Bombyx mori: one gene and its partner. The protein of the gene in region 1 purifies or fractionates together with the protein of each later gene. This does not show direct contact. Links are inferred from orthologs where the notes say so. Each region holds a gene or a part of one and is shown on either strand. Other genes may lie near its edges.

What was found.
Region 2: the proteins of eukaryotic translation initiation factor 6 (region 1) and protein BCCIP homolog purify together in Homo sapiens (affinity purification with mass spectrometry; 3 studies listed by BioGRID and IntAct, counting the BioPlex papers as one, with this or other methods). This does not show direct contact. The link is inferred for Bombyx mori from reciprocal best matches to the Homo sapiens genes EIF6 and BCCIP.

Annotation. Positions count from the first base shown.
Region 1 is NC_085114.1:15,903,409-15,906,527, reverse strand, and holds eukaryotic translation initiation factor 6, read left to right. Parts: upstream 1-1,598; 5' UTR 1,599-1,664; coding exon 1,665-2,402; 3' UTR 2,403-2,607; downstream 2,608-3,119. UniProt on the Homo sapiens protein: Binds to the 60S ribosomal subunit and prevents its association with the 40S ribosomal subunit to form the 80S initiation complex in the cytoplasm. Behaves as a stimulatory translation initiation factor downstream insulin/growth factors.
Region 2 is NC_085132.1:4,572,614-4,577,107, reverse strand, and holds the start of protein BCCIP homolog, read right to left. Parts: upstream 2,866-4,494; 5' UTR 2,405-2,865; coding exon 2,288-2,404; intron 1,695-2,287; coding exon 1,568-1,694; intron 1,374-1,567; coding exon 1,246-1,373; intron 837-1,245; coding exon 700-836; intron 1-699. UniProt on the Homo sapiens protein: During interphase, required for microtubule organizing and anchoring activities. During mitosis, required for the organization and stabilization of the spindle pole.

The DNA of each region.
Region 1 (3,119 bases):
GAAGCAACCATTCCATTCGGAAGTTGGGGTCTCCAAAACGGCCGTTTTGTAGGCGTCCATCAGGTGATGAAAATCTCTGTCCACGCAATTTATTCTTTATTTTAGGGAAAGTATAGAAATCATTAGGGCTTAGGTCGGGGCTGTACGGCGGATGGTCTAATAATTCTATGTTTTCTTGCTCTAAAAACTCTTTTGTTCAGTGCGCGGTGTGAGAACTCGCATTGTCGTGAGGGAGGATGATGCGGCGGTAGCAGTTCTCTTTACGGAGTTCAGAAACGACCTGTGGCAAACAAATGCTAGCATACCATTCTGTATTAACCATTCTTTGTCCCTCAAGAGGAATAGTCGTAACATGGCCTGTTTTGGAGACAAACGTGGCCACCATTTTTTTTGCAACACTCCGTGAACGAACAATTTTTGTTGGCTTTAACTCATTTTCGAACACCCAAACTCGTGACTGGTTTTTTGTTTCGGGTTCGTACGCGTATATCCAGGATTCGTCACCTGATACAATGTTGTATACAGCATTTGAGGATCCTGCGTGGAATCTTTCGAGAGTTCTGACGCACCAAGTAACGCGAGCCGCTTTTTGCTCTTCACAGAGCGAATGCGGTATCCATCGGGAAAACAACTTTTTTACACCTAATTGTTCATGCAAGATTATTTGTATTTGACTCATGCCAATGTCTAAAGTTGCCTGAATTTCGCGGTATGTCACATGTCGATCTTCCTCAATCAGCTTACGCACAGCATCAACGTTTTCTTGGGTGACTGCAGTTTTTGGACGACCTTGACGGGGATCATCACTGAGCTTGACACGTCCACGTTGAAACTCAGCAAACCAGCGATAAATTGTGGTTTTGGATGAGGCTTCATCACCAAATGCAGAAATCATCCGGTCAACACACTGTTTTTGTGTTAAACCACTTCGAAAGTCATAATAAATCATCGGTCTTGAATTTTCTCGAGTCAATTCCATTTTCTCAACGACTAAACAAGTTTGACAAAACCTCGTGACAAGACCGAGAATCTTTTTTTAAATAAATAAATGGTATTCGATTTTTAAAACTAAGGAGTTTTCAATTAAAAAGATTTTAATATGACAAGAAGTGGAAATATTCCATTCCCGATACTTTTAGTGCAGCCTAGTATTCTTTGTATTCGTTATATAAAGAGTTACAATAGGTGTAAGATATACCTTGTAAATAACAAAACATTTAAGTACAAGTTTCCCAATGTTTACGTCAAAACAATAAGTCAAAATTAACAAATAATAATAAAAAATACATTGAAACATGAAGATTCGTAAAAATAGGGGGCGCGCGGGCGCTTCATGGGTTTCGCACACAGGCGCTGGCGGGGGTCTGCGCGAGGCTGGCCGTCTGTGGCCTAATAGTGATTTGGTAATATTTGTAAACTATACACATAAAACTAAACACAGAATTATCATACCTATTCTATTGAAATAATATATCTTGTCTGATATCAGTGACCCACAGAAAATTTATGGCAACACTGGACTCGACTGTCAGACATTAAAAAATCAATTTGTCAAACAAATCCAATTTCATTTAGACGCTTGTGTTTTTCGCAACCCACGTGAAGAATCGCATCATATTGTGAAATACATAATAAGGGAAAAGGTTAAACGAAAAACCAAAATCATGGCGGTTCGCGTTCAATTTGAAAATAATAATGAAGTGGGAGTGTTCAGTAAATTAACAAACACATACTGCCTTGTCGCGATTGGAGGTTCGGAGAATTTTTACAGCGTGTTCGAAGCTGAATTAGCGGAGACCATCCCAGTGATACATGCGAGTGTTGGAGGCTGCCGAATCATCGGTAGAATGACCGTAGGGAACAAGAACGGTCTCTTAGTTCCATCTTCGACCACGGACACAGAATTACAACACATTAGAAACAGTCTGCCGGAGAACGTGAAATTACAACGCGTGGAGGAACGGCTTAGTGCCCTCGGTAACGTCATAGCCTGTAACGACTATGTAGCACTTGTACATCCTGACTTAGACAAAGACACAGAAGAAATATTAGCCGACACATTAAACGTGGAAGTATTCAGACAAACAATAGCGGGAAACGTACTTGTTGGTTCTTACACTGCATTGAGCAACCGAGGAGGGCTGGTACACCCGAAGACAAATATACAGGACCAGGATGAACTCTCTTCGCTACTCCAAGTGCCCTTAGTTGCCGGAACAGTTAACAGAGGCAGTGATGTCGTAGCTGCTGGAATGGTGGTCAACGATTGGTGTGCATTCTGCGGACTGGACACAACGTCAACTGAGATTTCTGTTATTGAGAGTGTTTTCAAATTAAATGATGCTAAACCGACTGCAATCACATCTACAATGAGAGCATCGCTCATTGACAGTATGTCATAACATTGAACTGTGAAATAAATCTTATGTTTAATAAATATTACATTATAAGTTCTGTGCTATTGTTTTGGATTACCAAAACTCAATTTGATTTACTTGTTTGTGAATACTGATAACACGATTTTGTACTTCTGTTGGACAGATTGCATAATGAGTACCAATGAGTCATTGACCTTGTTTAAAGATATTTAAAATAATAAATATTCATAAAAAAATGCTTTTTAGTAAAGTAGTTCTTCTGAATAATTATCATTTCATAGTTTATTATTAATGGCTTAGAGTTCTAGTACCTTGGCGCCTTGATACTACAACTCAGTAATAAATATAATATTTCTTTATTAATAATAATAAATATAATAATAGTAGTGTTAAAGAAAAAAAAACTAAAAATATTTGGTGCAGAAAGGGCTACTAGCTAAGGATACTACCTGCTCATCATTATATACTATGGCTCATAATCATCACAATTCATAATGAATGCCACACTGCATCTATTGCATGAATTACTATATTAATATCTAATCATTCTCAATCACCACCACTGTCTCTTAATCAATTGTAACCATTATTGGACTATGATTTCAGAGCAAAACAGTCACATTATGTATGTGTCAGTTGTATAGATATCACCATACTGTTTATTTTACTAGGAACCATGCACATTCTGAACTAAAGATGAGGGTAGGGCCTATAATTGACATTTGCCTTATGTCTCAAGGT
Region 2 (4,494 bases), on another chromosome or scaffold:
ATAATTATTTTTAAAAGTAGCAAAAAAACTAAACATTTCTACTTTAAAAGTCCCAATTATAATTTTCTCCATTTCTCCAGAAGTTCTGGAGACAATAAGATATTCACACAAATAAAACATAAGTATTTTATACATATATATCTGTATACAGCCAGTTAAGCTAGTGGGTTGCCCAGTGTAGGTAGTTAGGCATTAGAATAAATCATACTATATACAACTTACTTATATCATGGGACATGAGGATAGTCTTAATTGTAATGGCTTTCAAAACTAAAAAACATGGGACACTTCATAGTTACAGTCACTTGAGTGAATCAAAAGTTTTGGGAATTAAATATCTTACCTTATCTTATACCTTTAAACGAGCAATTCTTGTATATATATAATCTGAATCTCGGAAACGGCTACAACGATTTTCATAAAATTTAGTATACAGGGGATTTCGGGGGCGATAAATCGATCTAGCTACGATTTATTTTCAGAAAATGTTTTTTTATTCGTGTTTTCAATAATCAACTTTATGACTATTCCCCACATCTATTGGCAGATAATCAAACTTATTTTTCTTAATTGAGGGCAACTAACCGCTTTAAATACACAACAAGATGGCATTATAAAAAAAAAAAAAGAGCAAAGCTCGGTCATCATCTAGTCTATAGAAAAAAAACAATGAAATTCTGAATACTCCAAAATTTTTACCTTTCATTAATAACTAGGCCAGTATGCTGAGAATCATCAGCCAGAATATATTTAATTAATTCTTTGGTTCTGGGATCTGCATTCTCCTGAGATAGTTTTGTAAGCAATTCTCTGATCTGTGCCACACTGGGTTCATTCTGAAATAGTCAGTGAACTATATTAATTAGATAGAACACTACATATAGAGAAGAATATTTACATATCAAAAGAATAGAAGTACACTACATAAGGAAAGGCTATTTGGTTTAAATGACATTTTTCAACTTTACAGGAGAGCCATTTAGAGATTAAACTTTGGAAAAAAATATATATAAATGTCACATATTAAGCAAATTGTCGCTTAAACCAAATAGCATTTTACCTCTCAATGTTTTTTTTCCCATGTTAGTTTTTTATTCATTGGTATTTTAGTTGAAACATATTGATAGTTTGGGAACTCAACAAAAATTTGTTTAATTGATTTCAAATTAACTTTTATTAAGGAGTAAATATCACTTTTTAAAGTTAGTTGAAATGTTTAATATAAAAACATTGTATTAATCTTACTTTTCTTTTAGTAATATTCACTACTGTAGTTACTCCAAAAACTCCATCACTACCATCGTCCTCATCATCGTCATCCTCTTGACCATCATCCAAACATTGCTTCACAACACTGCCTATGTAATTTTGTGCTGACAAAAAAAAGTAGTGTAAAATTATAAATTGTATGATCCAATTGATTATTCACTATTTTTAAAAACAATTCAAACTTTATAGCCAGTACAATTAAAATTTTACAAGCAATTTTTTTTCTTGGTTAGAATTGAATAGGTACAGAGTTTTCTGGTAATTTGACAAGCTCTGTATTAAGTCACAAAAGTCTTACATATAATAATTTGGGCTAGCCCTCCAAGGTCAACATTTGATTTCAGAAACAGTTGCCTCAGTAGCTGCTTAATACCGTGGAAGTCACTATCTTCTGGGTTACGTCCTTCGAAATCAGCCTGTAGCTCCTGAAAATAGCAAAAGAATATCTCGATGCCTCCAATGAACACTACTCTAACTCAAAATTTTGAAATTTTCGTTTTTCACGCAAATCGCTTCACTATTTTAAAAGTATTACATATTCATTATTAATGGGGTTCGAAGCAAGAGTAAATCAACTAGTTACACAAGAAAAAACCATAAAATCTTTATTATTGCAGATATATTTATCAACTTTTTTCGTTTAAACTCTCCTCTTGTAAACCTACGAATTTGGAGTTATAGTAGTGTTCATTGGAGGCATCGATCTTAATTTAATTTTCAGTAATTTTGAATTTCACAATTTGGTTTGGAAAAAGGGTGGGGAAAAGCATTTGTCACTGGAAACCGCTTTGCTGTTACATGCTGCAGTAAAATACGCCATATGCTTTAATATAGTGATTACATGATTTGAGTTTATTTGTAAGTTTACTGGGCATCTGCAAGAAAGTATTTGTGTACTAATCTCATTTATTTTCATTAAGTTTATTTATCCATTTTACATAATCTAGTTGATTGTATTTAATTACACGATTAATTGAAACAAAGAGCCATGTGTTTTGTAGGTTATGGTTTTGCTTACTTTTTCACCGACATAGTTGCCGTCTGAATCAAAATCAGAATCTTTTTCGCTGCCTGAATCTTGTTCCTTTTCGCTTTCGCTGTTTGTGTCAATTTCCTTGTTCTTTTTATTAGGCATTTTAGCAAAATAAACAAACGAGGAGGTTATTAAAGAAATATTATACAAGTTGAAAATGAAATGAGATTAATGCACTTTTATTCACTTATTTTTAATGAAAGGTTTTGTTAGCTGTATGACAGTAGTAGTTCTATTGATCCAACTGGAAAGGCAAAAGTATTATGCCATACAGCTTATTCTTTTATTATAATATAATATATCTTTTTTATGAAAAATAAGTAGTGAAATTAAATGAAATGGAATGAAATATAATATCAGTAAAACGGTGCCTAGCCATTTACTGAAAATTTTCCAGAGGACTTTTTGGAGGACCCAGAGAAGTTACGTCCAGCGGCTTTGTTCTATTTTCCCAAATTTGTGCACTTTCACAGATAACTAAACAATTCATCATAAACCACTGTTATCACACATTTAAACTTGAAGAAACACTAAATAGGTAGGTATACAGGTCGCTGGGTGACATTAAGTGTATTAAGCTTTGTGATTTAACGAGAGCGGTCGGGCGGCCTAGGAAAGCGATCTGAGATCCATTAATCATTGGATAGATTTTTTGACCAAAAATATCGAAACGCAAACGCAATATAAACTGTTATTTACGTTTTTAGGCGTTGTTTTCATTTAAAATAAACAAAACTACATTTAGTTAAATTAATAAAAGAAAATATTGTTGTTCGAGCAAATTTTATATATATATTAATGAATAACCAAATTATTAAACCACCTTACTAAGTGACGGGGTAAGTTGGCGGGGGTACAGGGAGACCCAGTGAAACGGTATTCGCCGCTGTCCACCGATCAGTAGGGGACCTGAACCCGGGTGTTGAAGGATATAGAAATGCTCAGATGAGAGAAACTAACCTTTTATTAATATTATTTATTAAAGACACTACTGTTTTTACTGTTATACATTTTCGTGAGACCATAGTGTTTTTATGCTACCTACTCTTCTAACCACTGACATTAAAAAAATACTAGTGTTGTGCTACAGCTCACACTTCTTAATAGGGATGTACCCACTAACAGGTGTCACAACTAAACTCCGCCCCGGGAAGCTGTCCCGCCAACCAGTGTGAAATCCTGTCGTGCGGTCGTCGTGTCGGAGTCGCAGACTGGAGTGGATCCCGGCGATCGTACGCAGGGTGGACTGGGGACCCTTCCATGCCCTGCGTCAGCCTTTCACGAACGGGGGGATCGGACGCTTCGGCGAGTGTGCAGGGGAGTCTCTAAGTTAATAGGGCCTTATATACCAATCTTGAGCCCGCAGTCTTGTCTTAATATCTACGGACCGTCCAGTCCCATATACGTCGCGCGCCTCTCGTAGGAGGTTATGCCCCCAATGCAGAAATAAAATAGCACCATTTTTAAGATCATGGAAGGTCAATAGATTCAACTGTGATTCAACTAGGTTTACCTACGTCCTAAACAATTTAAATAATGTTTTAGAAACGTCTTACATAACTGTAAAATTACAAATTATGTCGGACAGGCCAATACTGTTGTTTACTTGTATAAATTTTAATGTATTTAATTGCATGGAAATTGGTCGACTTCTTGGCTCAAGGTGATCCTGGGATTGAATTCGTCATGTTTATGGGATTCAGTATTTTTTATTGGTAACCCAAATTTGATATTGAATTATTTGAAAACACAGAGTAAATACTCATATTGAAATAAAAAAAATATCTATTTTTATTTTGAAAATTATATATTGAAATGTAACTATGAATATTGTGCTTTCGTGCTGAAATTATTTACTGTTTGTAAATATTCAATAAAAGCGTAAAATACGACCACGATGTTTTGATAATCTGAAAGTGGAAACAAAGAGAAAATCAATATAACATCATTGAGAAAGTTGATGGTTCGTTTATTAAAAGCTACGTAAGCTAAATACGTTTTTACATAGGTTATTCATTACGCTCAACTATAAATATATAGTTTGCATTTTTTTCTCCTGACCCGTGCTTAATTCGATTGTTATTCACGAATACGTACCATCGAGCTACCTTTTTTCTCAGCTTTAGTATTCATGTTTTTAAGACTAAATTAGCTACTACTTGAGGGTAGATCTATATTAGAGTACTGTCTCT